7 linked regions of the Rattus norvegicus genome follow. The protein of the gene in region 4 interacts with the protein of the main gene of each other region in a biochemical or structural test. Links are inferred from orthologs where the notes say so. Each region holds a gene or a part of one and is shown on either strand. Other genes may lie near its edges.

Region 1 (3,500 bases), on a different chromosome or scaffold from region 4:
CAGACATTGAAGACCACAGATTCAAGCTTCACTCTATTCGGGCCCAAGGTCTAAGCTGGAACATGTAGTTCCTGCGGGGGATGATGGGAGCTCATATCTTGTGCAAGATATTAGCTTGTCTCTGAAAACCCCACGATGGAGCCTCAGGATGTGTCTGGAGTCTGTGTTCGTGCAGTCTGGGGTGTGGAATGACACCCAAGTGTGTAAGGCAATGCTGGGGCAATGTTCTTCCCAGACGTGCCGAGCCTTGGTGAGGACCAGGTCTGCAGCTCCAGATAGAGGAGCCTCAATTCTGGGCGTGAGGCTCAAGGAGGCATCAGAGTGGACGTTTTGAGACATGGACCAGAGTAGAACAAGACAAAGGGCCTTATGTTACACCCGGAGAGTGCTTTCAGTAAGCAGCAGCAGGCAGCAACTATGACAGGATGATGTGGCCTCTGGGGTTGGGACTCCCACAGACACACCCCAGCAAGCATGACTTCTGTTTGCACAGACCCTGGAGCTCCTGACTCCAATATCTGATGTATGGCTTATGTCTGGAGAGCTGGGGTTAAGAGGACCTAGTGAAATGGCCAAGTACACATAAATCAGCCACAAAGACAGCATCAGGCTGAGAATAAGAGGGACTGGCTTGAAAATTGGGAGAGCTGGATTCGAGTCTCTTCCACTACAGGGAAGACAAAGTAACGGTGTGAGTTCTTTGGCACCTGGACTTATTAACTCATCCGTAAAGACACATAGCCCTGCCTCCACCCCTCACAGGCCCCTCAGGAAAGGGGGTGTGCTGTCCCTATGGAGCTGCCTGCCTCCTGTGGCCACTTCAGGCTCAGAACAGAGAGTAGAGAGAGGGAACTTGGGATGCCACAACTCACCCATCCAGACTTCACCAAACTGCCCAGACCCAAGTTTCCGGACCAACTTGAGGGACTGCCTGGGGATTTCCCATTCGTCTTGGGCCCAGGGATTCTTCGGGGCTGGGTTCACACAGGGCAGGGTCAACTTCTGACACAAACCGTCCCCTTTCTCTGTTTCAGGGAAGAAAAGAGGGTCCTGGAGGTCACCAGAGCAGATACGTCTTAATTACCACATTGTCCCACAACTGTGTCCCCTGTCTCACTCCCGTGTGGGAGGCAGGACGTGATTGATGTCTGGGATCTGCACTTTCTGAGACTGCAGGTCTTTTGCTACATTCCGAGGAGCCCCTATGAAGCACTAGGCCTCTGATCTCCAAATGATTAAGCTGAAAGTTGGCACGTCCTTAAGTCTGGTTTGGAGGACCCCAACCCAGTTGATTCACACAGTTTAGGGTCATGCGGTAGAGACCCCAGGGATTCCTCAGGGAAGCCCCTACCCCAACACCTCTTACCAGAATAGTGCTGCACCAGGGCCTGGAGGGTGGGGAAGGTGATCCGGGGCGAGATGTAATAGCCTCCATTGTCCAGTGAGCGGATCTTATAGTGCTTGACCATCTCCCCCTGGCTGGTGACGTCTTTCACAGATAGGGAAAAGGCACCTAGAGGGTTAATAGACACATTTGAAGTAAGACAAAGTAAGTATAGTTGGGGCTTATGAGATGTGAAAAAAGGTTCCCAAATTCTGTATTCAGTTCTCAGACGTTTCAACACTCTCCCAGAACACTCCCTATTGGCTGTCTGACCCAGACTTCCCTTCAAGCCCCTAAACTGCCAGGGACTCAGGAAACAGGACTGTTTCTCATCCAAATATGGGTGCCTGGAATACTGAGAAGTGAAAGGTCTCCAGAGGACGTGGAGCTTAAATATCTTTGATTTGAAGGATGATGGCTTCCCCCAGAGAATCAGGGCCTCCAGTGCAGATGCCTTTCCCAGAAGCATAGCAAACCATTCACCAGAGGCCTTTCTCTCACACTGTGTTTTATAGTCTGTGTTCACATTTTTGTATAGACAAGGAAGCAAGGCACACAAGAATAAAGAATTTCCCTCCTGCCAAGAAGTTTGTTTCCTTGAGCTTTTATAAAATGCCTCTGTCCAGCCCTGTGGCTACCACAGAATCTCCCATTTTCAAATTAGTTGTGAAATGAGGCCATTAAATGGAGGTTAGGAGAAGAGTTAGAAGTAGGCTTGGGGTGGGGGGGCATCCCACCCTTCCCACGGACACATCTTTGAGGAGCAGTCCCACCCTCCGCCACAAGGGGTCAGGCCTGCACACCTTTCGTGTGAGGACCTTGATACTATGTTGCTGATTGTTTTGGATGCTTTCCTCATCTCAAGACTTTTCTCCTCTTGTATCTTTCCTTGCCAATCTGTCTCTCACAGCCTATTTGCAAAGGGACACAAAGGGTCTGTACTGCTGTCCATCACACCTTGATGTTGCCATAGGCCTTGCTCTTTCCCAGCCTCCTGTGACCTGCCACTCTGACTGAGATGCTTTCTCAGTCAGATTCTCCAATCTTGACTCTTTGGTTCCAAAAAAATGCCAGGGAACTGAAGGCTATCTGGTGCCTTTCCTTTCTTAGCCCCTATCTGCCTCAGTCCACTAGTTCGTGACCACTGTAACAAGGGACATGGGACAGAAGCCATGGAGCAGGTATCCCTGCTACTCTGGACCAAAGCCATTGTGGGGCTTCCCAGGACCATGCACACACAGCAAGGGGGCGGCGAGCCTCCTGAACCCACCTTTATTGCTCTCACTCTCTCTGATGAGAAAGGAGCCGGCTTTGTTCATTGGAGCCAGCAACTGCCTCTCAGCATCCTTCCGGCTAATGGTCCTGAAGAACCATCTGGAAAACGGCAAGAGTGGGTGAGCCTCAGAGTTGGTGACACCCCTAAGTTGATCCTGAGATGTTCCTCACATCCTGCTCAGTTAGATGGCTCCTAAGGCCCTGCAACCCCACCCCATCCCATCTCCCATCAGCTTCTAGGCTCACATTTTCCCTGAACGAAGCAAGAACATGGGCTAGGTAACCTCCATTAGTGTTAGTCTGCAAAATTGTTCCTGGCCCACCACTGTCCCCTGGCATGAGTTTGTAATTTCCTTGCTTTCTGAGTGAATAACAGCAGTGCCTGGGGCTTTCTGGGCCTGGTTCCTTCCAAGCCACCTCTCTTTATCACGGGGCTTTTTGTCATGTGTTGTGGTCAGATAAAAAATGTTCCTACAGGCTTGTGTGTATTTGAAGATGTGGTCCCTGGCTAGTGGTGCTGTTTTGGGAGGCTGAGAAACCTTCTAGATATGAGGTCTAATTGGAGGCCATGGGAGTGGCACTTGAGGTGACAAGCCAGCTCGGCTGCCCTGCTGGAGTTCTAGCTGCTTCCTGCTCCACCAAGCTGTGAGAGGTACCCAGCTGTACATTCTTGCCGTCGTGAACTCTACTGTGTCTTCCCCACCCTGATGGGCTGTACTTTCTCAGACCATGATCCAAAATGAATCCTTCTTTAAACTATAGTTTTTTTAATAATGATGAAAGAAGTAACCAATACAACATGGTTCTGGGGGAAAACCCAGGGCCCACGTTGTGTGGGAAG
Region 2 (4,264 bases), on a different chromosome or scaffold from region 4:
ATATTATTCATGAAGGTGAAACTCTATTGGAGCTCCTCCCATCCTTAGATAGGAGACTGTGGGTGGAAGCCGCATCACTCCTCAGTGGTGAATTAGGGGCTGGGCAGGACAGCACCTTCCCACTGGAACCCCCGAAGCTAGGATTTTCCTTGGCCCTCCAGGCCACTCAGAGGAAACCCTCTGCCAAGGACAGCTCAAGTCCAGGATTTCTCAACCCAGTCGGATTCAGACAAGAAATTCCTTGAGCCAGAATTGTTGAAAGGGTCAAAGTTGAATAACGAACTGATAATGAAAGTCAGACCACTGTGTCAGGTCTACATGGGTCAACATCTCAGGAAAGTAATGTATTTTAAATCCCAGCAAGTACATCTTGAAAATGTAAAATGGAACACCAGCCTGTGTTCTCTTAGCCCAGGGCAGGCTGACCTTGGCTTTCACCACAGATGCACACATTTAACTAGAGGGATCCAGAAGTCAAGAGGTGGAAATGATTTTCAGTTTGGTAAATTGGCTTGCCCATGCACGTGTGCTATGTTTTTAGAGTTAAACACACACACACACACACACACACACACACACTGCATACAAAAGTTGTACATATATCTGCATATGTTAACGGTTGGAAGCATTTCCACTCATTTACTATTTTTAGGCTAATCATTTAGATTATTTAGCTGAAGGGATATGCTCATTCTGCGTCCTAATATTCACCTAAAGTCTCACACAATTGTTTCACCCACAAATAAAAGACCTGTAACTGGACTTTAACCTTCCAATGGACCATAATCATCGTCCGTTCCGAAATAATGTGCATGTGTGGGGCTGGGGGTCTATGGACTCCCCACCCCCCCACAACAACTGGCTAAATTCCTACTGAACTAGCCAGCAGGAGGAGGCTGGCAGATGCGACATTTCTGACACTGGACCCGCAGGGGCTCACACACTGCTAAGCTCAAAAGACAGTGCCAGTCTGCCAAAGCTTAGGAGACTACATTGAGGGACGCAAACAGCAACCAGTGTTTACCTTGACCACGTCGTCGTTGAGATGCTTGGGGTCGCGGTTGACCAGATCAATCTCCTTGGTGTGCGCGTCGTACACTTGCTTCTCATTCACCTCGTCTGCCATGGCCTTGTTGTTGGGCTTGTAGATGTTGCCCTGTTCCCGGATGGGAACAGTGTAGAGATGTCCCTGTGAGGGCAACCGGCCAAGCCAGGGGAGGGCGGCAACAGCGGTGGGAAGAAGAGTTCAGAAAGAAAAACAAGAGTCAAGAGTCAGCCTGGCTGTTGGTGGGGGGAGCCTGGAGCTCCAACTTTTGCTAGCTTCAACCTCCCAGGAGAAAGGCTTTGCACACAGAAAACTCCAACGCTGCAAGCTTTTTAAGAGGACGGAGCGGAGGACACCACACCCCTCGGTACCAGGCGGGGAGCGCCTGCCTCCCGCGCCGCCGCCAGGGGTCAGGGCGAAGCCCCATGCGCCCTCCTACTCCTCGCGACTCCCGACTGTAGCTCCCTAGGCCAGGGGTTGGGATTCGCTTTCCGCCTCCTCTGTATTCCTTCTCTCCACCAGGCCACCCGTGTCCCTCAACCTCACCTGCTCCTCTGTCCCTCTCTGAACCGTTAACCCCGTCCTACGATCCCTTCCAACATTATCAAGATCCCTCTGGACCCTGCTGACAGACTTAATGATCCTATCTTCTCTGTCCCTCAGTGCTTCTCCCTTGCACCTGCTGCAGCCCCTACCCTTTTTACCTCCCCACTCCACCCCGTGCTCCACGGTGTTCCTTAGGCCGTGGGGGTGAATAAGTGGGTCACAATCTAACACACTTCTTTAAACAGAGGCATGTACCAAGACCCCTCACCCCGCCCCCATGCCCCAGAACGAAATGTCACCTGAAGGACTCCCTCACCCACCCTTACTTAGATCACCCCCAGGCTGTCTACTCCAGGCTGAACCGTAGTCATATTGGGGAACCCAGGTCGCCACATTCAGTCCACCAGAGTACCAAGAAGTAGTTGACAATGGCGGTGGTACTCGTGAGGAAAGAGGCTCCCCCACCTCGGACCTCCTCCGGGCCTCTCAGGGGCAGAATTATTGAAGTTCTCGAGAACTTCGCTAAGTGCTATACACGCACGGCGCCGCCCATGCCAGCCACTTTAGGCTCCTGCGGGGGGCTGTCCTCAGGACTGCGGGCAAATGAATCTCCTTTACCCGAACACACACACACACACACACACACACACACACACACACACACACACACACACACACCCCACCAGCTCTAAGCCTCTTAGTAGGTAGGGGCTGGACCGCCGCAGGGGGGTCTCGCGAACAGTGTCATCTGGAAAACTTCTCTAAGTCTGGCAGACTCAGACTCATAAAACAGTACCCGGGGGTTCTTCTTTTCTCCGTTGGCTCCTTTGGTCCCCTCTCCAAAAGGAAGCCCTAAGGCATTCCTAGCTTTTCACCTCCCCACCCAGCCCATTCCTCCGCGGTACCAGCTCGAGTGCTGTGAAGGTGGAGAGAGGGCTGGGGCTAGGAAAGCAGCCCGAGCATTTGGAGTGCGAGATAGCAAAAGCAGGCACTTTGGAGCCGGCGCGCCCTCACCCAAGCCTACCTCGGAGTCTACGTATTTACCCCCAGACATGCTGGCGCGTGGCTGGCTGCAGGCTCTGAGGAGGTTTCCCTGGGCTGTGATTTAAGAGAACTGAGGAAGGAAGATCTTGTATTGTATAGAGGGGGAAAGGCGCTGGCGGGGGGCGGTGGCTGAGAGGGAGCCTCTTGGCTGTTGGCCAGGGGTTTGTTCTGCTCTCAGTTGGCTGGGACGTGCTCTGCGCCGGGTCTAGGCACATCCCCAAGGTTCTGGCAGCGGAGGGCGGGGAGCGCCCGCGGGGAGCTGAGAGCCTGTGAGAAAGCCTTCATCAGAGCTAGGCTGTCTGTTTGGGCAGATATTTTAGACCCGCGGCAACGTTTTCCCAGCTATAAACCAACAGAGAGGCATCCAGGGGAGAGCGCGTGTTTTCCCAGTGCATCATCTCAGCAGGGGTGGAGGGAGCACAAGAGTTTGCTGAGATGCCCAGTATGGGCATCCGGCTCCACGGAAAGAATTCTGCCCTATCCTAAGCCGCTTCCCTTCCCGCTTCGCCCACGTTCCATTACCCACTAGGACTGATCTCTCTTCTTGTTTCACAGAGAAAGATAGAGAAGAGATGGCTGGGAACCTGAGGGAACATTTTTTATATAAACACAGCGAAGGAATCTGTGTGGGCGCCTCTGCAATAAAGAAAATGAAGTTCCTACCAACAGGTTATACCGTAATCATAAAGCACTTTGAATGTTTTCAACTGCAGAAAATTTTACTTGGAGGTTCAAGCTTGTTACCAGAGAGGATTTTTCCCTCCTTGGCTTGAGATCAAACCCAGGGCTTTGTGCATTTTACCTAGAGATAAACACTCTGTCACTGAACTACATCCTCTGCCGCAGAGGATACTGGCCCAGGAATATGTGCTTGGCTGTGAGAGAATATGTTGTTGTTGTTGTTGTTGTCTGACAAAATTTTTTTATGTTAACAACTAAATATCAGTTTCAAAAGCTGACCAACCTCCTTTTGTTTTATTGTAAAGAGGAATAATATAAATCATGGTTGCGTTTTACTAATTAGAGACAGCAACTCAGCAGCTCACCACCCCCAATAAGGATGAAAGGGATGTTTTACCTAAGCGTTCCTATGCAAATACTTCCGTAGTACTCTGAATGGGACAGAGAGTACATTTTAAAATGGCCACCAAGAAGCAGGAGCATGGGGTCTTGAAGACAAAACCTGGGGCCTGAAAATAGATAAAAGAACTCATCATCTGGGTCCTGCTTAGAGGGAAAAGAGACAATCTATCCTTTGAATTAATTGCTAATTAATTAATTATCAATGTATGAGGAATTATAAATTATAAATATTATTTGTAAGTAATTTAATTATTGTTTTATTAGCATGTGATATTAGCGTAATGTTAGTGGGGTGCAGTGTGCTACTTCAACACTTGCGTATGTCATACTGATCAAATGAGGGTGGTTAGCAGTACAGTGTTAGAAATAAAAGGATGGATTTTAGTTAGGAATGGCAGGGAGAAAGTCAGTGTGGTAAACAATAGGTAACATGTGCTGGCTGTTCACCATGAGATTAAAGATCTTCCAAAAGGCTCATTTCCTCAGTTTTACTTCTACTAAATTACTCTTCCAAAGCCTTTGATTAACTTGTGTGACAACATGCAT
Region 3 (3,500 bases), on a different chromosome or scaffold from region 4:
GGACACGGGTAACACTGGCAGGAAAAACTTGTTCTCACCAGATGCAATTAAAAACGAACCCAGTAAACGTGCTGGTGCAGACTCTATGGAGTCTGAGAATCAACCGCTTTCCTTAGGACCCTGGAATGCCGACCTTGCTTCTCTTACTTTGCTACATTCTGGTCCGTGATGGATCGAGCAGACAGAGCTTTCAGTGAGGAAACCTGGGGTTAAAAGCCAAACTGGCCCTGCTCTGCCATCTGCCCTGTCACAACCGTAGCTCCACAGGGCTCAGCCGAGATTAGAGAGAAGAGACATAGAACCCAGGGCCAGCATTCTCTCACAGAGCAAAGCTCTAGAGAGCTGCACGGGTGGGCGGGCCCAGTAGCATCTTAATGGATGGTCTTGATTGAAGTGGAAACGTCTAGTTCTTTGGAAAGTTAGCTATGCCAAATGATGTCTTGCTGGGGCACAAAAGTAAAAAGGATGTCTTGCTGAAGCAAACACATGAAAGACTGTTTTCCTGAGGCAGACACAGGTGAAAGGACGCTTGTTGAAGGAGTATGAATATGACCCCACAGACAGTGGGAGATGGGCACTGAGCTTTGGTTTGCCCTGCCTCGCTATTCTTCACTAAAGACACGCCTTACATAGCATTGTTGAGCTCAACCTGTGATGATGACGCCCTTGAGAGAAACTCTCCCAAGAACTGCTCCTGAGGTCCCTGCAGCTGCCTGCTGATTCTACGGCCTCGCCTCAGGCCATTGATGAGCCTGGCGGTTTCTTCAGGATTGAGTGACAGCTGTCTGGGGTCTGCTTGCTGAAGGAACTGGATTGGAGCTGTTGGTTTGTGCCTGGTGTTTGCCTGCCTACAGGACCGGTCTGCAGTTGCCGAATCGTATTTGGTGTTTGCTATGGGAATGCACTGCTGCCCAAGAAGATCGAGCTCGCCCCCAAAGAACTGCTGCTGAACAGGTCCACTTCCCCAACATCCTAATAACTTTCCTCTTCCACTGCCTCTGCGGGGTGGTGGGCCAGAGGAGAGGTTGAACCCTTATTAAAAGTAGGTTGCAAAAAAATGTATGCCTACACTCAGTGTCAGCTAGCGAGAACCTCACTAACACCAGACAGCTTTATCACAGTGGCTGGTATCTCCCCGCAGCCACAGCTGAGCATGCCCAGTGGCTCACCGTGGCTTCACCGTGTGCACGGTGCCCTGCTCAGGGCTGGTGGGGAAGGCAAAGCACACTGTACCTAAGAATAGGGATGGGGCGTCTGAACTTGTAGGCTGGGCAGTCATGAATGTGGCATGTGGCCACCCTGCATCACTATCTGGGGGCTTCTGGGGTCAGCGGGAGCTTCTAGCCTCCATGTTAGGATTCTCGGAAGCAGGGATGCTCCCAGACATGTCTGAGTTTGGCAAAGGCAAGAGTGTTCTAGATGCTTGAGAGGATATCTGGGATTCTGTGATTTTTTTCCCCCAGGCACAACAAAGTCTCGTACAATTATAAGGGCTGGTGACTTCTCGGCGGCCCTGGTTTGCCTAAGTGTGCTTTATGACACTCCCACAGTTACAAAATGTACATAGTAGTATCCCTGCTGGGAAGTGACATGATTGGATAGGTACACAGTCAATCTCTGGCCTGCCTCCTGCCCTCACCTATGTAGAAGGCAGCACATTCCCAATGCGTCAAGAGAACGCCCACTTCACGTTAATACCCAGTGTGATGGCTAAAACCCGGCATCCCTCTTGGTTCCCTCCAGTTCTTTGTCTCTGACTCCAGTCCCTGGAAGATAAATTCCCAGTAACCCCTACTCAGTGATCGCCACCCCAAAGGTACAGATGCGACCAGACTTGTATGACACGACCCACTGCCTTTTTAGCTTCTGTAACTTGCTTATGCAGGGACCTGAAGGCTGTTTTTGAGTTGCCTTAACCGATTAACTTGGCGATACAGAACAGACCAATTTTTGGTTGCCTGTTCAGATACTGGAGGTCTTCCTGTGGTTTTCCTCTTAAAACAAAACAAAAGGAAACAAAACAAAACAACAGCAGCAGCAGCAGTAACAGACCCTCACGACCCTCCTTCACAGCAGTTTCAAACAGTGGCTCAGAGATTGCTCCTCCTGCTTGCAGCTAATCGATAAATCTTTTAAATACCATCAGATGGAGTCTATGGTCTTTTCCCAGGGGTCACAAACTCTGTAGCAGTAGCTGTGGTTTGTTTCCATTGTCAACTCGACACAGTCTGGAACCCCTTGGGAAGAGAGTTTCCACAAGTCTACAACAGGTTGGCCTGTGGTGGAACTGTCCTGTGTTATTTGAATGAAGACCCAGGCCACCATGGGAGGCCACTGGACCAGGGAATCCTGAACTTTCTGTGAAAGGAGAAAGAGAACTGAGCACTGGAAGCACGTGTCCCATCTTCTCTCTCAGCGTTCTGATATGCTATGACCAAATGGTTTTAAGTTTCCACCTCCCTGACTTTGTGATCATGGACTGTAACCTGGAGTTCCTTGCTAAAATAAATCCTTCCCCTCTAAGTTATATTTTGGTCATGGCATTTTATCACAGCGACAGAAATGAAGTTAGGACAGCAGCAGCCACACTGCCTACTTCTAGAACCTTCAGGTCAATGGTAGGAAGGGTTGGGCACTCACTCGTAAGTCCAGCATAGGTTCATCAAGTCGTACATCTCTCTCGGGCATCCTGGAGGGCACCCCATCCGCTCTCCTTTCTCCAGCATGGCAGTCACTTCGCTCCCTTTCATCCCCTGAGATGTGAAAATGGACACAAGCTTTCAAAATATACAAACAAGAGTACCTCACCCGCAGACACACAGGAGACTTCAAGTGACATAAGTCACAAGACAAGAGTAGGGGCCTCTCCTCTGGAATCCTCGAGTCAGCCTGGTTGCCCAGTGAGAAGTGTGTAGGGGAGAGGGGAGGCTGTGGAGTTTCTGTTTTGATCCCTCATTTAGGGAATTCGGTTTTTGGGAAGCTTCATTTGTGATAAGCCATTGAATGATACCCTAGGATCTGTCTGCACCCAGTAAACACACACACACACACACACACACACACACACACACACACACTACACACACACTACACTTACACACACACACACTACACTTACACACACTCACACACAAAATACACATACACTACACTCACACACATATTACACACACATACTCACACACACTACATTCACACACTCACACACACACACTACACACACTACACTCACACACACACTACACTCACCCACACTACACACACATTACACACATATACACATACTATAAACATACACTACACCCACACACACACACTAAACATACACACTACACTCACACACACTACACACATATGCACACACACTATACTCACACACACTACACACACACACATTACACACATATACACATACTATACACATACACTACACTCACACACACTACACACATATGCACACACACTACACTCATACACACATACTACACTCACACACACAC
Region 4 (3,500 bases):
TCACGTATCCCCCATGTAATCCAGTCATTGTATCTAGTAGAGGCTGCTCTAATGCACAAAAGGATTTATTATCAAGAAAACACCTCACGGGCTGTGTTGCTCTAGCACGGTGGCATCTGGAGCGATTGGAAAGATTTTGACAGTGGAAGAACCAACTTTGGCCTGGTACCTGGATAACAAGGTAGCGCTGTGGGTCTCTGGCCATTTTGGAGAATTCGAGAATCAACTCTCGGAACTTTGGGCGGCTATCAGCATCTATCATCCAGCCTGAGAGAGAAGTGAAGCAAAGCATAGCAATGAGAACCCTGGGAGGAACAACAAGGAGGGCATTACTCAGAGCATTTTATGCTGTGATCTTGTTAGGCATGTGGATACTGAGTGCATATAATCTTTGTGAGAGCCTTGGCACATGGCTGACACTGGTTAGTTCTTGAAGCCCATGAGAAGTTGTTATAATGCCTTGTGCATTTGTTCCCAGTCTTATACAACAGTTTTCATCAGAGTAATAATAACATATAGGCTAATGTTTTTCTATTTGCCCTTCCTTAGTAATCACTCTTGCATTATGATCTTCAGTGACCACAGTGTATTACTGTATGCAATCACTACTGAACTTCTCTGACTTTGGTATACCTCTGTATTTTCTTTGTCCTAATCTACAGCCTTCTAAACTAGAAACCAGATTAAATTTACAGAAACGTCAAGGTTACTGCATTCTCCATTCAGTTACCATTCATGCAAGTGACAAGGCTGGATCTGTGTCCTGTCTTTCTGTCTGTCCATCCATCTACCATCTAACTACGTATCAATGTATGTATGCATGCATGTATGTATGTATGTACATGTGTGTACATATGTATTCACCCATGTATCAATTATTTATCAGTGATGCAGATTGAACCTAGGGTCTCATAATGCTAGTACTCTCTGTGTAAATCTATTTTTAGTAGTTAACAGTAATGCTTTGCTTTACCAGTGGTCTAAACATAAATCCAGCAATGGGGAGGATAAACTGTGCACTGGAAATCCTGGTGCCTCTTGGGGATTCCATTTATTTTTTCAACTGGATATCAAGCTATTTTAGGCTAAACTGCTGTGTGACCTTAGACAAATCATGTAACCTTTTTGGGCCTCAGCTTCCTCAGCTGAAACCAAAGCAGTGAAAATAGACTAACGCTCTGCTCCAAAGTTCAGAGATGTATTGTTATTTAGGTTAAAGCAGCTGTGCTGGTTAGATTTTTGTCAACTGGAAATGAGCTAGCGTCATCTGGGAAGGGAAACTTTAACTGAGAAAACACTTCCAGTAGATTGGCCTGTCAGCAACATTGTGTTGATTAATGAGTTATGTGGGAGAGCCCAGCACACTGTGGGCGGTGCCATCCCTTGGCTGGTGTTTCCTTGTTTTCTTAGAAAGCAGGCTGCGTGAACCAAGGACAGTAAAGCAGTAGGCAGTGTTCCTCCATCTCTGCTCCAGTTCCTGCCTCCAGCTTCCTGGTTTGAGCTTTTCCCCTAGCATCTTTTAACGATAGACAGTAAGCTGTAAGCCAAATAAAGCCTTTGCTCCACCAGTTGCTTTTGGTCAGTGTTTTATCACAGCAACAGAATGCAAAACCAAGACCACGGCTCTGTCATATTCCTATGCTGTTTCTATGCCGATGCTATCACATGGGTACTGTTACTTTCAGAGCACACTTGTCGATTTGTGTGGAATAATAGCACTGATCCAAATGCAACCTCCTACTGGAATTAACATGATTAACTGCTTTACTGCAGGAGACCTCATATAAATCCACTGTTTGAAAGATTTAAGCCAGAGCAGAAACATTGATTCTATCAAACTCCCATGGTTACTCACTATTAGGCATTTTAAAACACTAAGTCTCTCTAGCAACAGGTCTCAAAATATAATGCAAGTTTGTAAGTTCATTGAGCAACTCAGATAATAGAATATCTGGGAATAATGGCTTACGAAAGACTTCAGTTTTGATTTATTTGCTTGCAAATATGGGCAAATATGAGGTCAGAATGAGGCAAGCAACTGATTCCTAAAGAATGCTTGCTGGAGGTATTTATGATGTTTCTGGAACTGTGTGGCCTGCCTTGAAGTCCTACTCTATTTCTTCCAGGAAATGAAGGCCCGGGCTATTTGTCTAAGAGCAGTTACATCTTCCAGGCCCATCAACATGAGTGTGGATGGTCACCCCAGTCACTCACACTTGACCATGATCATGTAGACGTCGATGGTGCAGATAGGTGGCTGTGGAAGGCGCTCTCCTTTCTCTAGGATGGATGAGATCTCACTTGCAGGGATCCCATCATAAGGCTTGGACCCAAAGGTCATCAGTTCCCACACGGTGACTCCTGGGCAGACACCAGGCAAAGAAAGTCATTGCTCCATGAGTTAATGATTAACACACCACCTACTCTTTATCCATTATCATTGGTAAGTATTTTAAAACCTATGTTTCTGTAGCCTTGAGCCATTGGTTGATTACTGATACCTTGGGCTTACCTATCCAGTAAGACAATAGCTTCAAGGATATACTAAGATCTTATACAAAAAATGTTTAGCTAAATGTGAGGCATATAGCTGCTGGCTGTTAAGTGGAATAGTTATAACCTTAAAGACAAGGACAACTGTGGTGCATAAGTTTGCTACAGAACAATGTCTGCTCACTTACACAACTGCTCCGATTACTTTATACTCACAGTAGTACAAACAAGGACCTTAGGAAGCAAGGTTGTAAACTACACGCCATTTGCTATACAATGCTCTTTGGTCGGTAGCTAATACAATCTGACATACCTGCTTCTGAGAGGGAAAACGTTCAGGGCAACCTGAATTTGTGTTCCTTGGTATGACCACCTATAGTCTAGATCAGAATAAACTCTCTCTTTTCCCTTTGAGGTGATACTTGTGTTTTATAATGACAATGCTTTCTCGTCTTTCCCTGAATTGCCTCTGGGCAAATTCAAGGACCAAGTAAGTGCCTGACACAGGAACCAAGGACATTGCTGGTTAGGCCACAATAGGCTCAAGATAAGGGAAGAACAAGCAAGGGAGCCTTGGCAAGAGTGGTCTCCCTGTGAAGGTGAAGCATAGTCCTGTGCGTGGCTGTGCTGTATCTAGAAGAGCTGGGCCCCGGTGAGACGGGTCTTCCTTGGGAACAAACAGTAACTGTCTTCTCATTCTTACTTCCTCTCCAGTTGTTCTCATGGTTTACCCTTGCCAAGCCATGACACAGACAGATTAAACCAATCGCCGCATGAAACAACGGTCTTGGCCATTTCATAAGAAAACATTGTTTCTCTATCAGAAACGCTCCCCCCATGAAACCTCATTTGCTGTCCTCCTTTGGTTCACATCGAGTTCACAGCAGGAGCTTATGTTTGTTTGACCTCGGCAGGCAGAAGCTTAACTCACATTTGGGTCCTTTTCCCCCCACGACCTTCCCTGCAGCGTGTGTTCATGGCTGTCTCTAGTGATACTTGGTGTGGTA
Region 5 (4,132 bases), on a different chromosome or scaffold from region 4:
GTGCTTACTCTGCCCCAGTGTTAGTGGATGTTCTCCCTCAGGGCGTGCCTTATTAGTCCCTGTTCTGCACCCATGCCTTGCACAATATTTTGAACACAAGTGACTCAGCCACCATCAGTTTATTAATAACACAGTGCACTCTGTTTGCTCCAAGAAACCAAACACATCTGATGTTTTAAAGCACAAATTGTATATTCACGGAAAATTTCTAGTTATGATATGAATTAAATAACTCAAAATGAACAGTCTAGAGAGAGATCCAGCAACCTGATTTTGAACTGACATGGCTTAAGATCTCTCTGCAGCTCTTATAAGTAGTCCTCAAACATTGCAGGCTTACTTACAGACTCATGGTCTCAAGAAGACCTGCGTCTCTGCAAATCCAATGACACGCTCTCTTGGATTTACTGCTACTATTTTTCATTACTAGCTAGTAAATGAAGAAAAGAAAAAGATATCTTTTGAACATATAACAGAATGTATATCCTTGAAGCTTTTTGCAGCTCCACTAGGAAATAAGCAAATGCTTTGCAATTATTTTTTAAAAAAAATTCTCCTTTCATTTTTAATTCATATTTAATACTGGAGTGTGACTAAAACAGAACAACCCATACAGAATTGTGATTTTTCAATTAAAAAGATCGTAAAGGTTATGATTCACATGACTTCCCCAAATTCAAGGACAAGTGCCCTCTAACAACCCACTCCCACTCGATTACCGTTTAGGGAGGTTATTGTTTAGGGATGTTTCTTTGGATTGCAGTAAAGGAGAAGCCTTCTCTCTGTTTCACATTAAGATCCAATGTTAATGGTTTACCATAAGTTTGCTGGCCTTGCATATTTAATGCCTTGTAACTTTAGAAGAAGAAGAAGAAGAAGAAGAAGAAGAAGAAGAAGAAGAAGAAGAAGAAGAAGAAGAAGAAGAAGAAGAAGAAGAAGAAGAAACAAAGTAATCTCATATTTAATGAAGAATAAGGAGCATTTCTGCAGATGTCTCTTTGTGATCCACTCTCCAGTGCTGATGTGCCTGGTGGCTTTACTAGCAGCCCTAAAAAGGAATTGTTGAGCATAAGCTCCGAAACACCGTCGTTATTTATGTTTGTTTACCTTGTTAAAATAGTACAAATTCCCTGCTCAAGCTTCCTTTAGATTAAAGCCTGATACAGTCAGACTGCATACCACTTCAGCACTTCAGTAACTCTCTCTCTCTCTCTCTCTCTCTCTCTCTCTCTCTCTCTCTCTCTCTCTCTCTCTCTCTCGTTCTCGTGTGTGTATGTGGGGGGTGTGGGTGTATGTGAATGTGTGTGTGCATGCATGGTGTGTTTGCATGTGTTGCAAGCATGTTTGTGAATTCTGCTATCCTAAAATGGTGTGCATATAAATTTTGTTCAAATTCTCTTATGAAATTCCTTTTAAATATTTTTTATAATACTCAAAGAGCCAGCATGTTTAGAGGAATTAACTTAAGAGAAATCTTAAGTGCCAATAGTCCTCAAGGTAACTTCAGTGCTGATCTTTTTTCCTTTTGTGATAAATAACAACTGGAATAGCACAAAGAAATTTACAAAGAAAGGAGGTTGTAACTGAAGCAACACTTTTTATATCGCATGGAAACTGTTACTCTCAAATATTTGTAAAGCCACTCTTTCCTTAAAAATAGTTGTTTTGGTTCAAAAATGTCTCACCAAAAGGAATTCGTCTGACCCCTAAACCTTCCTTTATTTGATTAGCTGTTTCATCCAGGTTGACTTCAATGTAAACATGCTTATACCATTGTTAGGTGTTTCAGAGTTAAAACTTAACATGTACGTATCAAGAAAATCTGCAAATACAGAACAAGAACACTTAAATCCCTCATTATAAGGTGAATTAAAAACTTCAGTAACAACAGCAATAATTAAAATATAAGCAATAAAAATGCATTTGTCCATGAACAAGAGCTACAAAAAAAAAGTCCAATGTTTCTTTCGGGGAGGTCTGCTAAAATAAACAGCGACAGGGAGGGAAAAGCCACAGGCACAGAGATCACTGGGGCACACCTAACCAGTGGTCCTCTGCTTACTCTGCTTTAAGTTAAAATGAGAATCAACCCCCACCCTCACCTCCTAGTGAATGCACCTCATAAGAAAGGTTCATTTGCATTGAAATTATTGACAGGAACATTTATTTATAGCCAAAGAGGTATGCAGCTGTATTATCTCGGATCTTTAACATAATATATATTTCCAGTGTTCCTTTTCACCTTTCTGGTAATAATTCCTGTTCATTTTTGCTGTTGCAGAAGTAGACATTATATTTCTATAGCCAGAAACTTGACCTGCTGAGGTTTTAAAGGTTTGTGAAGTTTGCAAGAATCCAGCACCAGAAGAAATCCTTAAATACCTAACTTAGGCACAAGCAATATGCTAGTTACAAATGCTTTTCTGCTAACAGTTTCTAAAGAGCAAAGCATTTCATCGGTACAAATGCAAAAATATCATTATAGTCAGTCATGGTGTTAGGTTACAAGTTTTTAATAAGCATATTTGCAAGAACAGAAGAGAGAGCACGAAAACAAAAACATTGCATCCAAGCAGTATTTTTTTCTTTTTTACCGACTACTTAATTTCTGTTTTTCAAACAACTCGTTTCTAATGTTGTATCAACATTATACAAAGTTTAGCACGACTTTCCTTCTCGTTCCTTTTTCTCACCAGATATTTCCTTCTGCCCTCCACTTGACAGAAGCTTTATTAGCCTGTAGCAGAGTTCAGGACAATTATTGAAAGCCATACCTTTTAATCCGGGTATTTGCCACCGGAGCCCTCAAAGCTGCGATGTAATTAACACTAAGTAATGCAGCCCAAGCAAGAGAGTTTGCAGGTGTGGAAAGGAGGAGGGGGTGGTGCTGCTCTGTGACTGTCACTAGGTTGAAAACCTCCTGCTTCTACTCCATAGCACAGTTAAACACTAAGGTTTCACTGAGTGAGCACATCCAGCTGACACCCACATTAGATCATATGGTAATGATACGTCTCTTGTACTGTAGCCAGAAACTTTATCGGCCCCGTTCTTTCTCCCCCTCCACGTTTGCTTTATTCCTTTCGCATCCGCCCAGCATTCCAAACTGCTTTTGTAGTCCAGTGGAGCAACTTGATTTGAAATTTGTCTTTTCTTTTTTTAAAGATTAGAACTGAAGAGTTTGTCTCCCCACCCCACCCCCAACCCCATTCCAGTCTCCACCTTTTCCCGCCTTGTTTGTAAGTAGTATTTATTATCATGCTGAAATGATATTTTGTTTCTTGCTTTAGAGATGTGAGGGTCTGGGAAATGGAGTGACATTAATCCTATAGCCGTTTTGCAAAGAAGACTGGGTAGACTTCCACAGAATTAGACCCGTGGGCTCCGAAGATCAAGGGCTGCGTAGTTCCCTGTGCATTTTGAATGCATTTCTGTGGTGTTCTGGGACAAAGCCAGAATTTAATCTGGAAAATATGTTGTTTATTACTTTCATTACCCACGGCTTCAAAAACTTCCTTGCTGTCTACCCCTTGTTTTTGTGAAATAAAACACATAGAAACTAGGAGCAGATTACAATATAATTTGTAGGTTAAAAAAATGATTTTTACAGATGGGTCCTCTATGTAATCAGGACTTTCTGTGGTTCTTTTTAAACTTCAGTAAATAGAAGGAAAAAAGAAGGAGAAGAGAGAGCAAATAGAGTAAGAGTGTTTATTCAGGCGGTGTAGAAAGTTTCTGGAGATTTTATAATTCCATCTCTGGAGGCTGCGGGCTGTTCTGTTTGCCTTCCCAGGTTCTGACTTGCATTTTTATGCCCAGGCCTCTAGGCTCTCATCAGGTGGGGACTTGAAATCACCATCTGTGAAAAAGGGGAAGATTCCCCCATCCTTCCTCTACCCATCTAACTGCATGCTTCGACAGGAAATATTCTCGAGCTTTTCGAGGCTGAGAAATTAAATTCTTGAGAGGAAATCTGAAGAGGGGGAGAATGGAGCTAAACTTATTTTGACTTCTTTCCCAAGTCTTAACTGCCTGTCTTTTAACTGATCATTCCACACACACCGTTCTTGCACTGAGTTACAACAGACTGGGTTATTCTGCTGGTTTAGAAAGTGGAGAGTCCAAGTGTTGG
Region 6 (4,218 bases), on a different chromosome or scaffold from region 4:
TGTGTATGCGCGTACATGTGTGTTTGTGTGTGTACATGTGTGTGTGCATGTGTATGTGTGTATGCGTGTATACGTGTGTGTTTGTGTGTCTGTATGTATGTGTGTGTACATGTGTGTGTGTACGTGTGTGTGTGTGTGTGTGTGTGTGTGTGTGTGTGTGTGTGTGTGTGGTAGTGTGATGCATATGTATGATATACTTGTTCCGGCATGCGCTTGTAGATATCAGAGGCAGATATTGTCTGTTTCTCTCACTTGCTTCCTTACCTTGTTTTTGAGACGAGTTTTCTCATTGAACCTGGAGTTAACTGTTTTGGTTAGATCAGCAGCTGGCCGATAAGCCTCAGGATTTCTCCATTTCCCTTCCTGCCCCAGGGCTGCTGTTGCTGATGTTTGATCCTACACTCAAGTTTTTACATGGGTACTGAGGATCAGAACTCAGGCCCTCATGCTTGCACGGCCAGCGCCTTACCCACTGAGCTGAGATCTGCGGCTCCTAGAATAATCTTTCTTAGATGTCAGCTTAGATGTCGCCTCCTGAGGGAGACCTCCCCGATCACTCAGAGAGCACCCCTCCCGTCCCATCATGCCTCACTGTGCTTTGGTTAAGTTTTATAACACTGCTGCCAAATGATGTATTTAGTGATTTACTGAGGGCAGGGACTTGATCCATCTTGTCCCCTGCTTAATGGCCTGTCTACCAGAATAATGCCCGGCACTTGGGCCTGACACCGTCATTGACCATGAGAACTTTTGATTGACAGCAGCAGTTGCTTGAGTGTGGGCTTGTGCTCGGCACTTGCTGAGTGAGTTCTTGAACGTGAACTTATTTCTTTAGACTCTCAGGTCCCCTTTGTGTATGTTTTTTCATCTTACCAGCAGGAAGTGGAGGCCAGAGGAGTGACAAGTGGTGTTGGTGACACGCAGTCTTCTTAAGGACCCCAAGCTGGGGCCCTGGACATGGCTGGGGGGAGGGGAGACAGGTTGCAGATCAGGCCATGATGCAAATTAAACTTCTGTTTCTATGACAGGGAGCTCAGGTTTGCCCTGCCTACCTGGACTGGAGGACGTTCAGGACACCCAGGCTCTGCTTCTTGCAAGGTTCTGCCTCTCTGAGAGGGAAGGAACTGTTCACCTCCCCGCTGGCTGCAGCAGGAACTGCTAGGAGATTACCCTGCCCACCCTAAGTGTTGGTTTGCAAAATGCTGAGCCTGGTGGGGAAATGAAGGGCTGGCCTGTTAACCACAGCGAGGGCTCATTTGCAAGAGTGAGGCTGGGCCAGGGCGGGGGGGGGGGGGGGGGGGCTGCTCTCCCTCTAGCAGAGCCATTTCTGCAGGCAGTTGTCCTGTAGGGACCCACTTGGGTCCCAGTCCTTCACTTGAGCTTGGAGTGGGAGGGTGATAAGGGGTGAGGGGCTCATGCTACAGCCTCAGTCTTCTCCTCTGAGGAGTGGGCTGGTTGTGATATCATGAGGTGCGAAGGAGCCCGTGCCTGAGAACCCTTCACGAACCATGAGTGCTTGGTCAGGAATTGCTGCTGTCATGCCATGGAACTAGGTGGTGGACATGATCAGAGACCCTCCCCCAGCCCCTACCTCATATACCTTCCAGAAACAATCCCCACTTTCATAGCGGTGTGTCCTCTCTGTTTCTTTCTGAACATGATTTAAATTTATTTACTTATTATGTCAGTCAGGGTCTCACAGCCACTGGCCCGGACCTTCCTATCTACTTGAGGATGGTTTCAAACTTCAGATCCGCCTGTCTCCACCTCCTGAGTGCTGGGATGACAGGCACGCAGCACCAGGCCCAGGTTAGACGGTGTCGGGGATCAAAGCCAGGGTCTTGAGCATCAACTGAGGTACATTCCCAGCCCTAATTGCCACCTTCATTAAACTTCCAGGAGTCTGATACGGAGCTGGCCCGATGACTCTCTGTCACAAGACTGTCATCCCGCAAAGCTGAGGGTGATGGCAGCAGAGGATGGGACAGTGCACCAGAAGGAGTTTGATGGTCCCTCGTGTGAGCAGTCTGGTGCTGATGGTCACCCACGGGTCATCTAGAGTGGTTACAGTAAAAGGGAGTGAGAACAGGAAAGAGGAAGTCTGGGAGAGGAAGAGATGGTCCACAGAGGTGGCTGTCGGAGCAAGGCCTGCATGCGAGGCACTCGGGCCTGCTCAAGCTGCCTTGTAGAACTGGTGCCTCTAGAGCTGTTGTCTCCCTCATCTCATCCTGAGGGGAGTGACCCAAACCAAGGGCTGCATTTAGGGTTCAGGGACCCAGACGGGCTTTGATGGACTGAGGGAAACCAAGCCTTTAAAGAAGTTCCAAGGAGGCGGGTCAGTACACAAGGTAGTCCTTGTACAACTACAAGGACCTGGGTGTGGGTGCCCAGTGCCCATGTGAAAACCCATGGCAGTAGTGGTTTGTAACCCCAGTGCTGAAGGGGCGGGTCCTATTGGCCATCCAGCCAATAACTGAAGAGCTTCAGGCTTGGTGAGTAACCCTGTCTCAAACAATAAAGGTAAGGGGCAACAGGGGAAGACCTCTGATGTCAACCTTGGGCCTCCACATGTGTGCAAATGCACCCGCGCGCGTGCACGCACACACACACACACACATACACACTGACTGGTTCACTCAAGACATACATGCATATATACACATGCTCACACACGTACATACTCACACTAAGTAGCACGTACGTGCACGCACTCACACTAACTAGTGCATAACAAGCACATGCACGCACTCGTGCGTACACACACACACACACACACACACACACACACACACACACACATACACAGTAAGATCTGTGCTATCCTAGGGCTCTGGAATTATCTCCCAGAGACCATTCCCTCTCCTCTCTGCCCACACCTCATCTGTGCCCTTTTCTTGTTGTGGGTGTGTTGGCAGCCTAAGTTTCCTGAGCTAGTGTGGCCTCGTCCCGGTGGGAGAATGTGGTGACTCCTGAAAGCCCCTCCTGCCATCTCTCACCATGGACGGACACAGCCCACCTGACTTATCAGATGGCTGGCTTTGGCCTTTGAAGTCACCTACTCACCTGTACAGATTCACTTGACTTAAAAACAAAGACCTGGCTGCAGTCGCTCTCACCCTGTCACTCGCCCCAGGGTGCTTGGAGAAGGCCTTGTGGGATTTCCCTTGATGACTGGAGGAGTTGGGAAACCGGCCTTGTTCACCTTATCTTCTGGGCTTTTACCTTGGGACACTAGTTACCACCCTGATAAACCCCAACCAGGTGGCCCTGGCTGCAACTTCTGAGGGTGGCAATAGGTAAAGGGATTTTCTTTGCAGGAGCTGGTGGGAAGATGAAGCAGCTAGTTAGTCTGGAGCTGGCATCTACAAGAAAGCCCCGTCTGTTCTCTGTCCAAGTCAGGATGTTTCTGGCTGGAACTTGACCTTGGCAGTGCTCCCCGTCTACCGGGCTGCTGATGGAAGGAATGGCCATCCATCCGTGGGTGTGAGTGTCTTGGCTCGGGAGCTGAGCCCTGCTCTGGACCAGTGGGGCTTGGGCAGAGCTCGCCTAACCTGCTCAAGCTGGTTTCCTTTTCTGCAAAAAGGAAACAATGAAAAAGAGTTTCACAGCTCAGAGAGGCGGGAGGAGGGACTCTGGAAAGGCCTTGGCCTCTGGCTGAGGGATGGGAGCCCTGAAAAACTGCCACTACTTTTGGGATCTCGGGGCAGTGGTTCCTTGCAAGGGTGCTCAGGGAGAGGAAGAGTACTAGCAGGCTTGAGCGAAGTCTGAGCAAGGCAGGAAATCTTTCCTGGAGGGGAACTTCTTGGGGGACCAAGGCCCACCTGTCCTCTCCAAGCATCTCTTTTTTTCCCCCCAAAGTTTTTTTTTATTGGCATAAATTTATTATGGCTCCAAAATTAATGCATAACCCATATGACATGTTCATAAATGAATTTACTGCTCTTTAGGTAATATTCACTCCTATTGTCTTTCTCGAGCCCTTCCCCTAGTGGTCCCCCCTACTCAAACTTTTCTTTTTTTGGTGAGTGTGACTAGTGAGTTTAGTTGGGGTTACTTACAGGGGCAAGAAGCCTGGGCACCGGTAGGTGGCGATACCATTAAACAAAAGGTCTCTTAGCTGGGCAGTAATAGCGCTCGCCTTTAGTTCAGCACCCAGGAAGCAGAGGCAGGCCGATCTCTGGGCTCAAGGCCAGCCCGGTCTACACATTGAGTTTTGGG
Region 7 (3,368 bases), on a different chromosome or scaffold from region 4:
AGGAATACCTAGAGATCAGCAGTCTGGTGCAGGACGATGTGGCATCCATTCACCGTGAGCTGGCTGCAGCTGCTGCTCGCATCCAGCCTGAGTTTGAGTACCTAGGCTTCCTGCGACAGTACGGGTAAGCCGGGGTCCTTATCCTTGAACCTCCTGGGCTCCGGGGCTTCTGACCTAGTCTCTGAAGGGCCCTGTGCACCCACAGATCTGCCCCTGATGTCCCACCTTGTGTCACTTTTGATGTGTCACTTCTTGAAGAGGGCGAACAGCTGGAACCTGGGGACCTGCAGCTGAACGAGCTGACCTTGGAGAGCGTGCAGCACACGTGCGTGGTCGCTTGTCAGACTTCCTGTGTGTGGGGGGGGGGGTGGGTGGGGGTGGGGGTGGATGTGGGGGCAGGGAACCCTTGGCTAAGTGGCCAGGCTAGGTTGGCTTGTTGGGGTGCATGTGGTGGGGGCACAGCTTTCATTATCCTGCCCTTGGGGTGCAGGCTGACCTCTGTGACAGACGAACTGGCTGTGGCCACCAAAGAGGTGCTGAGCCGGCAGGAGATGGTCAGTCAGCTGCAGCGGGAGCTCCAGTGCGAGGAGCAGAACACCCACCCCCGAGAACGGTGAGGAGACCCCACCTGCAGCAGCCTCCTGACTCCGCCCCTCTGCTGTGCATGCAAGGTTCAGGCTGACTCTCTCTCTCTGCCCTCCCCTTGCCCTGCTCCTGCCTGCAGGGTGCAGCTTCTGGGCAAGAGGCAGGTGCTGCAAGAGGCGATGCAGGGGTTGCAGGTAGCACTGTGCAATCAGGACAAGCTTCAGGCTCAGCAGGAACTTCTACAGAGCAAGATGGAGCAGCTCGGGACAGGCGAGCCCCCAGCCGTACCACTCCTTCAGGATGACCGTCATTCCACCTCTTCCACGGTGAGATGCCCTACCACTACTATGCCGACCCCTGCCAGCCTGCGTGCAGGGGCTGCACTCCTCATTTTTGCCCTCCCCCTCCCTAAGCCTGGCCACACGCTGACGTCTGTCCCTGGCCTCAGGAGCAGGAGCGAGATGGGGGAAGGACACCCACCCTGGAGATCATTAAAAGCCACTTCTCTGGAATCTTCCGCCCCAAGTTCTCCGTGAGTAGTCCAGAGCTGGACCTCTACCTCTGCCCATCTAGTTAGGCCAGGCTAGGAGTCTCAGACCTTAGACCTCCACACTCTGGATAGAAGGACCTGCCTGCCTAGAACACTTTCACAGTGTGGGGTGGGAGGAGCGGGGCGGGGGGCAGCGGAGCACGAGCAGGGGACAACATTTCCTTCCTCGGGTTTCCTTCCCTGGGGTTCTAGGCTGCAGATACCTCTGAGCCCTGCCAGCTCTCGTGTCCTCTCTTCACCATCCCTATATGCCGCAGGGGCATGTGGCTTTGGCTACTGCACTCCTCTGCTGCTTCGGGAGTGACGGAGAGGCCTCTGGTTCAGAGGAGAAAAGTCCTAACTTGATTGGGATCTGCTAGCCCCAGCTTCCCATTTCAGTTGTGCCCAGAGTGAGCTTGAACCAGGCCGCTCTAGTGTCCCGTGGATAGCTTAGGGATGAGAGCAGGTGACACGGTGAAACCCCACCTTAGCCCAGGGCTCTCCCCTTCTGAGCCAGCCCAGTGACACTGCACACTCCTCCCAGATCCCTCCTCCGCTGCAGCTCGTTCCAGAGGTGCAGAAGCCCCTCCACGAGCAGCTGTGGTACCATGGGGCTATCCCTCGGGCAGAGGTAGCTGAGCTGCTAACACACTCCGGGGACTTCCTGGTTCGGGAGAGCCAGGGCAAGCAGGAGTATGTTCTGTCTGTGCTGTGGGATGGCCAGCCCCGACACTTCATCATCCAATCCTCAGATGTAAGTGGGGAGGGGACGCTGATCCTACTCCTTCTGTCTTCCCCTCTCTAGGGAAATGGTCTAGAGCTCAGTGACCTTGAGTGTAGAGAGTAACTGCTGTACCTTCAGTGCCTCCTTCTCTAACTCAGTTGGAGGGCCCCAAAGAGAATATCCATGTCCCTGAGTCTTTCCTCCCCAAAGAAAAAAGATAGCAAGAGTGCCACGTACCAGTGTGTCCTAGGCAGTCCCTGCCCCCTACTCCCCACCTCTCCACCACACCCCTAGTCCCCCACTTCTGTTGCTGCTCTTCTTGCCTCTTCCAGGGCTCAGGTCTCCTTACCAAAGGAAGCTGCTGACCTCAGGTCTCCCCAACACCCGTAATCCCTTCCTCACAGAACCTGTACCGGCTGGAAGGGGACGGCTTTCCCAGCATCCCTTTGCTCATCACTCACCTGCTGTCCTCCCAGCAGCCCCTTACAAAGAAGAGTGGTGTTGTCTTGTTCAGGGCGGTACCCAAGGTGAGCCTGTGGCCAGCCTGGCCCACGTTGAGCTTGGGAATCACAGGTGCTCAGAGTGTGGATAAGCATTTACCCCACAAGAGGGCCAGCCTCCCCCTTGGTATGGGATGCCATATATATCAGCCTGATCCCCAAATTATCTGAGTGTCCTGATATGACCAAACCTATGGGCCAGTGTGACACAGTAGGTCAGCTCCAAGACTGACATAGTGTCAGCCGGAGTGTCTTCCACAAGGCCCAGCACCCCTTCTGTTTGCCGACTTCTGAGTCCCTTGCTTCTTTCCTCAGGACAAGTGGGTACTGAAGCATGAGGATCTGGTGCTGGGAGAGCAGATCGGAAGGGTAGGTGTAGCCCCACGACCCTGGGATTCTCCAACCTTCTGGGCTCTACCTGTTACCTTCCTCACAGCTTCTTCTAGGCCCCTCACCAAGTCTCACCTCTGGTTCCACTTCCAGGCTCCTAGAGGGTCTCCTTGACTCAGTGTGATTCCAGCTCATAAAATATCGAATACCAACTCCTAGACTGACATCTTACCCCAGCTCTCGCCCTGCTCGAGGGTGTCTTACTAAGCACCTCTGTTAATATCAGACGCCAGCCACTTTCCAATCAGAATGCTTTCCCGACCCAAAGAAAAGCAATTCTTCCCATGTCACTTCTTAGAGAAGGTGGCACAGACCACGTTTGTATCTTTACGAGGGGAACTCCTCATAGAGACCCAGGGTGACAAGGCAGCATGGACAGTGGGGACAAGATGGCTTGTCCTCTGGAGGTGAGAAAGGGAAGCAATACCAGGAAGTTGTGGTAGGAACCAGGACTATTGCAGGGGAACTTCGGAGAGGTGTTTAGTGGACGTCTTCGTGCAGACAACACCCCGGTGGCTGTGAAGTCTTGTCGAGAGACGCTCCCACCTGACCTCAAGGCCAAGTTTCTGCAAGAAGCGAGGTGGGTCATAAAATGGGAACAGTCAGAGGTTCCTTGTGTGAGAGGCTTCCTCTGTGCACT

The links.
Region 1: the proteins of Egfr (region 4) and Blk form a complex in vitro, tested with the Homo sapiens proteins (2 studies listed by BioGRID and IntAct, with this or other methods). The link is inferred for Rattus norvegicus from reciprocal best matches to the Homo sapiens genes EGFR and BLK.
Region 2: the proteins of Egfr (region 4) and Cav1 form a complex in vitro, tested with the Homo sapiens proteins (2 studies listed by BioGRID). The link is inferred for Rattus norvegicus from reciprocal best matches to the Homo sapiens genes EGFR and CAV1.
Region 3: the proteins of Egfr (region 4) and Syk form a complex in vitro, tested with the Homo sapiens proteins (2 studies listed by BioGRID and IntAct, with this or other methods). The link is inferred for Rattus norvegicus from reciprocal best matches to the Homo sapiens genes EGFR and SYK.
Region 5: the proteins of Egfr (region 4) and Dcn form a complex in vitro, tested with the Homo sapiens proteins (2 studies listed by BioGRID). The link is inferred for Rattus norvegicus from reciprocal best matches to the Homo sapiens genes EGFR and DCN.
Region 6: the proteins of Egfr (region 4) and Plcg2 form a complex in vitro, tested with the Homo sapiens proteins (2 studies listed by BioGRID and IntAct, with this or other methods). The link is inferred for Rattus norvegicus from reciprocal best matches to the Homo sapiens genes EGFR and PLCG2.
Region 7: the proteins of Egfr (region 4) and Fes form a complex in vitro, tested with the Homo sapiens proteins (2 studies listed by BioGRID and IntAct, with this or other methods). The link is inferred for Rattus norvegicus from reciprocal best matches to the Homo sapiens genes EGFR and FES.

The regions. Positions count from the first base shown.
Region 1 is NC_086033.1:41,809,983-41,813,482, forward strand, and holds part of Blk (tyrosine-protein kinase Blk), read right to left. Parts: intron 2,759-3,500; coding exon 2,655-2,758; intron 1,514-2,654; coding exon 1,367-1,513; intron 1,026-1,366; coding exon 873-1,025; intron 1-872. UniProt on the Homo sapiens protein: Non-receptor tyrosine kinase involved in B-lymphocyte development, differentiation and signaling. B-cell receptor (BCR) signaling requires a tight regulation of several protein tyrosine kinases and phosphatases, and associated coreceptors.
Region 2 is NC_086022.1:46,605,074-46,609,337, reverse strand, and holds the start of Cav1 (caveolin-1), read right to left. Parts: upstream 2,801-4,264; 5' UTR 2,646-2,800; coding exon 2,616-2,645; intron 2,071-2,615; exon of another isoform or gene 1,918-2,070; intron 1,367-1,917; exon of another isoform or gene 1,190-1,366; coding exon 1,025-1,189; intron 1-1,024. UniProt on the Homo sapiens protein: May act as a scaffolding protein within caveolar membranes. Forms a stable heterooligomeric complex with CAV2 that targets to lipid rafts and drives caveolae formation. Mediates the recruitment of CAVIN proteins (CAVIN1/2/3/4) to the caveolae.
Region 3 is NC_086035.1:12,761,274-12,764,773, forward strand, and holds part of Syk (tyrosine-protein kinase SYK), read right to left. Parts: intron 2,754-3,500; coding exon 2,641-2,753; intron 1-2,640. UniProt on the Homo sapiens protein: Non-receptor tyrosine kinase which mediates signal transduction downstream of a variety of transmembrane receptors including classical immunoreceptors like the B-cell receptor (BCR).
Region 4 is NC_086032.1:95,539,126-95,542,625, reverse strand, and holds part of Egfr (epidermal growth factor receptor isoform 1 precursor), read right to left. Parts: intron 2,362-3,500; coding exon 2,215-2,361; intron 268-2,214; coding exon 170-267; intron 1-169. UniProt on the Homo sapiens protein: Receptor tyrosine kinase binding ligands of the EGF family and activating several signaling cascades to convert extracellular cues into appropriate cellular responses.
Region 5 is NC_086025.1:34,166,641-34,170,772, reverse strand, and holds the start of Dcn (decorin precursor), read right to left. Parts: upstream 2,801-4,132; 5' UTR 2,775-2,800; exon of another isoform or gene 2,769-2,774; intron 2-2,768; exon of another isoform or gene 1-1. UniProt on the Homo sapiens protein: May affect the rate of fibrils formation.
Region 6 is NC_086037.1:62,492,316-62,496,533, forward strand, and holds the start of Plcg2 (1-phosphatidylinositol 4,5-bisphosphate phosphodiesterase gamma-2), read left to right. Parts: upstream 1-1,418; 5' UTR 1,419-1,809; intron 1,810-1,899; 5' UTR 1,900-3,483; intron 3,484-4,218. UniProt on the Homo sapiens protein: The production of the second messenger molecules diacylglycerol (DAG) and inositol 1,4,5-trisphosphate (IP3) is mediated by activated phosphatidylinositol-specific phospholipase C enzymes. It is a crucial enzyme in transmembrane signaling.
Region 7 is NC_086019.1:143,749,814-143,753,181, reverse strand, and holds part of Fes (tyrosine-protein kinase Fes/Fps), read left to right. Parts: coding exon 1-124; intron 125-205; coding exon 206-325; intron 326-490; coding exon 491-613; intron 614-724; coding exon 725-911; intron 912-998; coding exon of another isoform or gene 999-1,033; coding exon 1,034-1,117; intron 1,118-1,658; coding exon 1,659-1,868; exon of another isoform or gene 1,869-1,896; intron 1,897-2,170; coding exon of another isoform or gene 2,171-2,203; exon of another isoform or gene 2,204-2,242; coding exon 2,243-2,365; intron 2,366-2,653; coding exon 2,654-2,707; intron 2,708-2,821; coding exon of another isoform or gene 2,822-2,842; exon of another isoform or gene 2,843-3,189; coding exon 3,190-3,308; exon of another isoform or gene 3,309-3,334; intron 3,335-3,368. UniProt on the Homo sapiens protein: Tyrosine-protein kinase that acts downstream of cell surface receptors and plays a role in the regulation of the actin cytoskeleton, microtubule assembly, cell attachment and cell spreading.